Linked DNA regions of Schizosaccharomyces pombe. The protein of the gene in region 1 purifies or fractionates together with the protein of each later gene. This does not show direct contact. Each region holds a gene or a part of one and is shown in the gene's direction. Other genes may lie near its edges.

What was found.
Region 2: the proteins of sog2 (region 1) and ckb2 purify together in Schizosaccharomyces pombe (affinity purification with mass spectrometry, with the first as the bait; one study listed by BioGRID). This does not show direct contact.

What each region holds. Positions count from the first base shown.
Region 1 is NC_003423.3:3,553,663-3,557,596, reverse strand, and holds the start of sog2 (leucine-rich repeat protein Sog2), read left to right. Parts: upstream 1-1,940; 5' UTR 1,941-2,114; coding exon 2,115-3,934. Other genes in the region: response regulator Mcs4, read right to left, coding at 1-323.
Region 2 is NC_003423.3:2,578,168-2,582,101, reverse strand, and holds the start of ckb2 (CK2 family regulatory subunit protein), read left to right. Parts: upstream 1-1,963; 5' UTR 1,964-3,020; coding exon 3,021-3,785; 3' UTR 3,786-3,934. Other genes in the region: cytosolic thiouridylase subunit Ctu1, read right to left, coding at 1-145. UniProt on the Schizosaccharomyces pombe protein: Regulatory subunit of casein kinase II/CK2.

The sequences.
Region 1 (3,934 bases):
TGAGAAGAGCGATATCTTAAGGCAACTGAGGTATCCGGCGACGCTACTAGAAGCGCGTCGTTAAAATCCTGACCATGAGGATAATAAGTTTCCATGACAAATAATATGCTTTCGTTGGGACTGAGTTCTCTAGATTGCAACTCCGATGATGCATTTGGTGGAGCTACTACACGAATCGAAAGCTCAGGTGCATCATAATACTGACTGATACGAATAGGGAATTTCCGAGCGATGGCATCTTTTAAATCGTCAACCAGATGATCTTCAGACAATATAACGGAGGAAGTAATCCCATCTGGAACTTTTTTAAACCAAATGCGCATCTTCTATATATCTTCTTTCTTTTGACTTAACCTCAACTTTCCTATATACAGTATGAACAACCAAAACAGCCGCCTGTTTTTACGTTTAACATTCGATAGCTTCTTGTATAATCCCCTTCTATTTTAAATTTAATAGAAATATACAAGTATAAAATCACTGTTCGTGATAAGGAATGAGTAAGGTATGGTTCACGATACAATACGGCAAGCCTACTTAAGGTGTTGAGTTTCGTTACCTAGTCGTGCAACAAGCGCTGGGGATTTAGTAGAGTACTTAGAGTAACACCTTCCATCTGAGGACAAAAATCGAATAAATTTTAACACGTGAAAATAATAGGCACAGCTAAAACTGCGATTGTAAATTATACATTCTACGATACGAGCAAATAAGTATTCGTTTAAAAGGGATACTGTTGTGTTATTGACTTACTATTAGAATTCGACATTACTAAAATTTAACTAATTGAGTAATTGTTTCTGAAATTTATTCCTTATTTTAGATTTTATTTAAAGTATGTAGTTTAAAAAAAAAAAAAATTAAACGTTATACCCATACTTAGTTGGCTACCATTAATGGTCCTATTACTACTTGTCAGGTTTGGATATTTAATGACTCAGATTAAATGATTTAATCAACACAAACCAATATTTTTGAAATTCAAAAATAATGAGGCTTCAATTTCTCAATGAGAAACCAAAAAAAATTATTTTAGATAGTAACCCATTTAGTCATAGAAAAAAAAACCGTGTTTGATTATATGTACAATTTATCAACTCATTTATTTTTATCAGGTTCTTAAATCATAATGATAAACCTAGGCGATTCTATTAGGAAGCAATATATTAAGGACTAATAAAATAAACAATAAATATTAATGATTAGGAAATCAAACGCACCAAGATAATCAAATTGATAAACAAACTATAGATAAATGACAGAAATATTGAATCAACAAAATTGCAACTCATTCAAAAAGTTATCAATTTACACTTAAAGAATTATTTACCACAAAACATACTGTAGCGTTAGCATTTGTTGCTCCTGTTAATAACGACTTCTGATCTCGATGAACTCAAAAAGTTCGAACCAACATAATATAGCGAGTGCTTTTGATCATTCAAGAATTAGAAATGAATGCTAACAATACTACATTACAATTACGAATTACTATATGTCACATGTTCTGATTACCTATCGTCTTACAAATGATAACAATACGATGTAGATCCACTAATAAATTTTTTAATTTATTAGCTAGAAATGATAGATGTAAAATCAAAGGAACAACGTTCTTTAGTTCAGCTGTGGTGGTTTGTTTAGAGATAAATTACATTACCGCCTTCATACAAGGATATCCGTAACCCCCGTTATCATACAACCATATGTACCGCTATGTAGTGCACATACGAAAATCAAGTAGTCTAACATATCATTAATGATAATTACGAACTGCATAGCTAAAAAAAATAAAACGCAATATCAAACTTAACGAAAATATTTTGTGTAAACGTTAATAAACTGTAATTATTTTAAGGAAAAGTGCTTATTCACGTTGTTAAAATAAAAAAGTACAACCTACAGATGCGTACACAGAAAGAAGTGAGTTTATTCGTTCCGCGAACTAGCTTGGCAGTAAATTTTGGGGAATTGACTTTTGTACATTATAGCATACCATTGTGGATCAATTTTATGTTCATTGCATTTTTTTAGTAATTATTACTTCTTAGAGTTCCTTTTTTTTTCAACAAAACCTTCGGATTTACGTCTGAGGTGATCGATCTTTTCATGCTATGTCTGCTCATGAGGTGTCCTCCACAAAAAACTCAGAAATTGAAAGAATTATTAAAGAGGCAGAAGATGCGGGTCCTGAAAATGCACTTACGTTAGATCTATCTCATCTAAACTTGCGGGAATTACCTTATGAACAATTGGAAAGAATCCAGGGTCGGATAGCGAGACTAGCGCTAGGCCATAACTTTATAAAGAGTATTGGTCCTGAAATCCTAAAGTTTACTCGTCTCCGGTACCTAAATATTAGATCGAATGTCCTTAGAGAGTTTCCCGAATCTTTGTGTCGACTTGAGTCACTTGAAATTTTAGACATTTCTCGCAATAAAATCAAGCAACTGCCAGAATCCTTTGGAGCTTTAATGAACCTTAAAGTTCTTTCAATTTCTAAAAATCGTCTTTTTGAGCTTCCCACCTACATTGCACATATGCCGAATCTTGAAATTCTTAAAATTGAAAACAATCACATTGTGTTTCCTCCTCCGCATATCGCTAATAATGACTTGCAAGATTCTGATATGCAGTTGTTTATTGCCAATATAAAGGGATATTTGTCGCGAAACGAATCAGTCTTTAGAACGCGAAGTGAAAGTACTGTTTCCGCTGCTTTATCCGCTTCAGCTAATCTTAGTCACTCGGAAGAAAATGACTCCTCTGTGGTTGATTCTTACTTATTTAGTGCCCCATCAGATACTAGCCATGCGGTTTCACCTGGCATGCTGACGTTTGTCACGCCAAGTCCCCATTCACATTCTCCTGCCGGGCATCAACAGTCCACACCCAAATCGACTTTGTCAAAGACAAATGAGAACTCAGAAGGAACATTGTATGATTCAAATGTTGCTCATGGATGCACTCATCCTCCATCACTTAATCAATTAAACAAATTTCATCTAGATGCGTCGCCTAGACAAGCCCGTCCTCGTAGGTCAGTTTCTTTAGCTACTGGCCTCAATTCTCCTTCTGTTTCAAAACCACCTTCTTCTGCTACAGGACCATTGTACCATTCACCCCAAAGCTCACTCACCAATTCCTCCGTCGCTAGTGCAGACGTTCAAGAACGTACTCACAATACTAACGGCGCTAGCCCCATTCAAGACCAAATTTCAGAATTCACTGATCAACATCAAAATCCCTCAAATAATGATGCTGCTTCCACACAATCGATTCTAAAAACAGCTCCAACGCAGTTGAGTGCGAGTGCTAAAACATCAGCCATAAGTTTACCTGAGGTTGCCAAGAAAGAGCGTAATAGAAGCAATAGTACAAATGATGATTACTCTTCTACTAGACTTCCATCGAGTGTTTTACATCGTCTTGAAGCCCTTAAAGAAGCGCGCAAACTTTCTGAGCAATTACCAAATCGAATTTTTGCTCAAGATCCTCATCCTTCCCCTCGTTTGAAAAAAGAAGAAACGCATGAAAATGGCTCCAATTTGACAAATGACTCGGTCAACAGCTACTTCAGTAACATTGGAGGGAGTGAGGTTGAAATGAAGCACTCGGCCTTTGAAAAAACTTTAGAGTCGTCTAGGGGCATATTGTTTTCGCTTTCGCAAGTCCAACAAGCCCTTCGTCAGCAACTTCTTTTTTGCAGCAACCCCGTTGTTTTAGATTCTATGCGTCATGTGTTACATACTGCCAATGTTCAAATTAAGCGGCTAATTCTGTGCTTTGAGGATACCCAACAAAGCAATGATGGAACTGCAAACATTAATTCCATAGTAAACGCTTCATTGTCTTGTATCAGCTCGTTTCGTAAACTAATTGAAGTGACAAAAAAATTTTTAAATGAGCTCACTAGTCGTGCGGATGTCCGATA
Region 2 (3,934 bases), 980 kb from region 1:
CAAATAATTTGTTTTCAATGATTACATTGTGAATCTCGGTTTCGAAAACATAGTAGAAACATTCTTTACAAATTTTCTGCCCTGTTTTAGGCCTAACTAATGCTGGTCGTCTCTCGTTACAAAGCTGGCAAAGCTTGTTTGACATCTTTAATATAGATGAAATTGTTAAAAACTTGAAATTTCATTAGAGGAATTTTTTAAGCTCCTTGACAAATTCTATTGAAATACCACATTTTTCGCTAAAGCAGTTAACGTAATGTGTTACTATACATTATATGATAAATCGTAGCTTATTGGGAAGATTGATAGGGTAAACCCCCATTCATAGTCAAATATATTAGATGATACAGTAAACGGAGATAGAATTTCTAGAAAATCATCTTTTTATAAGCCTTAATATGAACATAAATGCAGAAAAACTCCAAGTTAGCAATTCGTAAATATTTAAACTACTGAGAAGTATAACAATAACAATAATAATAATAATAAACAGTGCAATGATGGTTGAACAGGATATACGCCCTGGAGTTTTCGTGTAAGTAAACATTCATGAATCTTTGGATACTTAGTGTTAAGTTCAATTCACTACATCATCTAAAAATAACAAACTATCCTATTAGAAATTTGTTAATGATGATAAAGCGAACGTATACAATTCTTGTATAAAACAAAAAATTTCAACTTAATAAAATAAAGACTTTTTGAAGTAGCGAGTTGTTATATTATATATTAAACGGTAACAAACACAAATTGATTATTTCAATTATTGATTTTGCTGATGATATAAGCAGTGGCATCAAGCTCCTTCTCCCAAAATATTTGTTTGTGAATCAAATCTTCGAGAAACTCCTAGTTAAAACAAATGTAAAAAGTAAAATGATAAATGTACAAATAATAAAAACTTATAAATGGGGTTGTATGAAACATTGTCATCTCTTGCTTGTGAAATTGTTGTTGGCGCTGCTTTTTTAATATTCTGAGAAATTAATTTTGCTCTCAAAATTGCTTATTTAATATTGGCTATCATAAATAATTTTATTATTTATTTATTTTATTTTTTATTTTTTTTACATATTTGTTGTCTGTATACCCATGCTCAATTGTGTCAAATACCCTAATAGGTGCGATTTTTGATGAACAATTGAAGACTTTGTTTTATTTCCCACTATAGAAAATTAACACCCGGTAGTTTTGAAGGCTTTACTTATTTTAGCGACTGTGTGCTCTAATTAATTACAAGCTCGATTCGTGAAAACTTCCTTTTTGCCACGCAGACTTTTAATTCCGAAATTTACACAGCCGAGAAGCTGCCTACAGTAAACGAAGTAATAATAAATGGGCATTGCTAAAGAATTTTGATGTTTTTGAGAAGTCGCATTCTACAATTTAAATTTTGGTAGAAAATATATTACAGAAAACAGTACCAAGTCAGCTAACTTTTAAGCCGTAACGCGTATTCCCTTTGGTGTTTGTGGTCTGCTAGTTTCTTAATCCAGCATTCAAAAACAAGGTAATTTAAGGTCTAGAAACATTATTTGTGACTTACAGATCCGACATTTAAAATGGCAAAACAGTATCTCGACTAGTTGGTTAAACAAATTTTAGCCTCAAGAATGTAGGACCCTTCTTATAATTTTGTTAAAGGAAAAATTCAAAAAACATTCATGTTGTCGTGATAGTGTATTCCATGAATAAAAATCACGATTATTTACAGAAAAAAAAAATATTGACATTGTATTTTAACTATACAGTTATTTAATAATATAATTGTAGCCAACCGTAGTAATTGGTGTTATACTTTCACTCCTGCTGATCCTATTTTCCTCGAATTTTCCTAGTGGACGATGATATATTGTGCTTTAAGAACCGCAACGAACTCGTAATTTTAGTTTTACTTTCGGTAGTTTGAAATTCCTTATTCTAATCATATATAATGCATTCTCCCTTGCGGGCAAGCAAGTTCACAACTTTTCGGGTACCTCTGACCCTTGTACAGTCTGTGAATAGCAGTCATTTGCTATTCAAAACGAATATTGTTAGAACAAGAGCTGAATTTCCTCTTTTCATAGACTAGAAGAAGTTTACTTTAACCGGTAGGTAGAGAAATTTTTCCCCTTTGAATTGTCTTTCGTTCTGAGTCATTATCATTGTGAAATAAGACCGATTTTAGAAACAATTATTTTCGTTTTCTTCTTTAATTCTTCGTTTTTCACTCGTTCCTTAAAAACCACTTTGGTGTGAGGAACTTCAATTATTTAGATTGCCTTTAGCTTAAAGCAGGTTTATGGTCTCATTGAATATTCTAGTATTCTATACTATTGTTGATTTGTTGAGAAGTACGGACTTGTTTCGATTCCGAAATCTACATCCGTAATTCGAGATTTCTAACCAAGCCTGTTGTTCGGAATCCGTTATAGCTGTTGGTTTGAAACCATTCCAAAAAACAACACATTCTATTTTCTGAATTTCCTTTATTCATACTCTAGAGATTCTGTTAATTAAAAACTGATATACTCCTAGTTGTTTTATTATCGTTTCGTTTTTTCTGATACGATAATTTAACGGCTATCCTTTTTGATTATCCAAGAGCATCAAAACAGAGGCTTTGCATCCTTTTGTTTGTTCTGTTTTTTTTTTTTTTTTGCTCTTATATTTTTGCAACCGAACTTCAAGGGTTACAAATTTTAACCTGAAGAAGGATTTTCTATTTTGCATCTTCAATCGTTTAATCGGCTGACCTATTTATTCTAAATTCCTTACAAAAATCCTTTTTACCTTGAATGTCACACCTTTAAATATTGAAAAGATTACGGAGTTGTTTTTATTATTATTATTATTATTATCATCATTTTCGTTGTTAATTTTAATCTTTTCCTTCGATATTCTGTTTTTGGCTTTTTTATTTTACCTTTACTTACCTACGCCTATTTTATCCTATTTCACTTAATTTCCCTGTTTCAGGAGGTTTTTTTATTCGAAAATTATTTCAAAGAGTGCGTCTATCCTTTAATCCTTCCACAATGTCGCGAAAAAACCTCATAAAACTTAATCATGATCCTACTGTCACTTACAGTACCAAAGATGATGCTGATGAATTATTTGATGATCTCTCTTCTTCTCCTCTTCATGAAAATGTTAGTTGGATATCTTGGTTCTGCTCAAGACCAGGTCGTGAATACTTTGTCGAGGTGAAGGAAGATTTTATCGAAGATCTTTTCAATTTAACCGGTCTTAATTTGGCTGTCCCTTTCTATAATGAGGCTTTGGACCTAATTCTCGATCGGACAGCTCCTGACACATTGGAGAATTTTGATATGGACGTAATTGAAACGAGTGCTCAAATATTGTATGGTTTGATCCATCAACGTTATATTATTACCCGGACAGGATTACATCAAATGGCGGAAAAATACAGCATGGGTATTTTTGGTTGCTGTCCTCGTGTAAATTGCTGCTATACTCATGTTTTGCCTGCAGGACTTTCTGATATAGTTGGAAAAATGCCTGTAATGTTATTTTGCCCTAATTGTCTTGATTTGTACGCTCCTTCTAGTTCTCGATACAAAAACATAGATGGCTCTTTTTTTGGTGCTACTTTTCCTCATCTGTTTTTTGAAAGCTATCCTGAACTGAATCCTAAGCGCTCAATCCCTTGTGGTAAAATTTATCAGCCTAGAATTTATGGCTTTAAAGTCAGCGAATTAAGTAAAACAGGACCTCGAATGCAATGGCTTCGTATGTACTTGGAAGATAGTGGTAGCGATTCGGAGTCTGAAAGTGATTAAAAACGATGCTTCATCTTATTTATGCCATAACCTAATGGTTCGTTCCTCTAAGCCTTAATAATACTTTTATTCCTATAAAATATCCTTGAAGTTTCTTTTCCGTCAAATTCAATTATCTAGTTGATGTCTCATTGCTTTGCATATAAGAA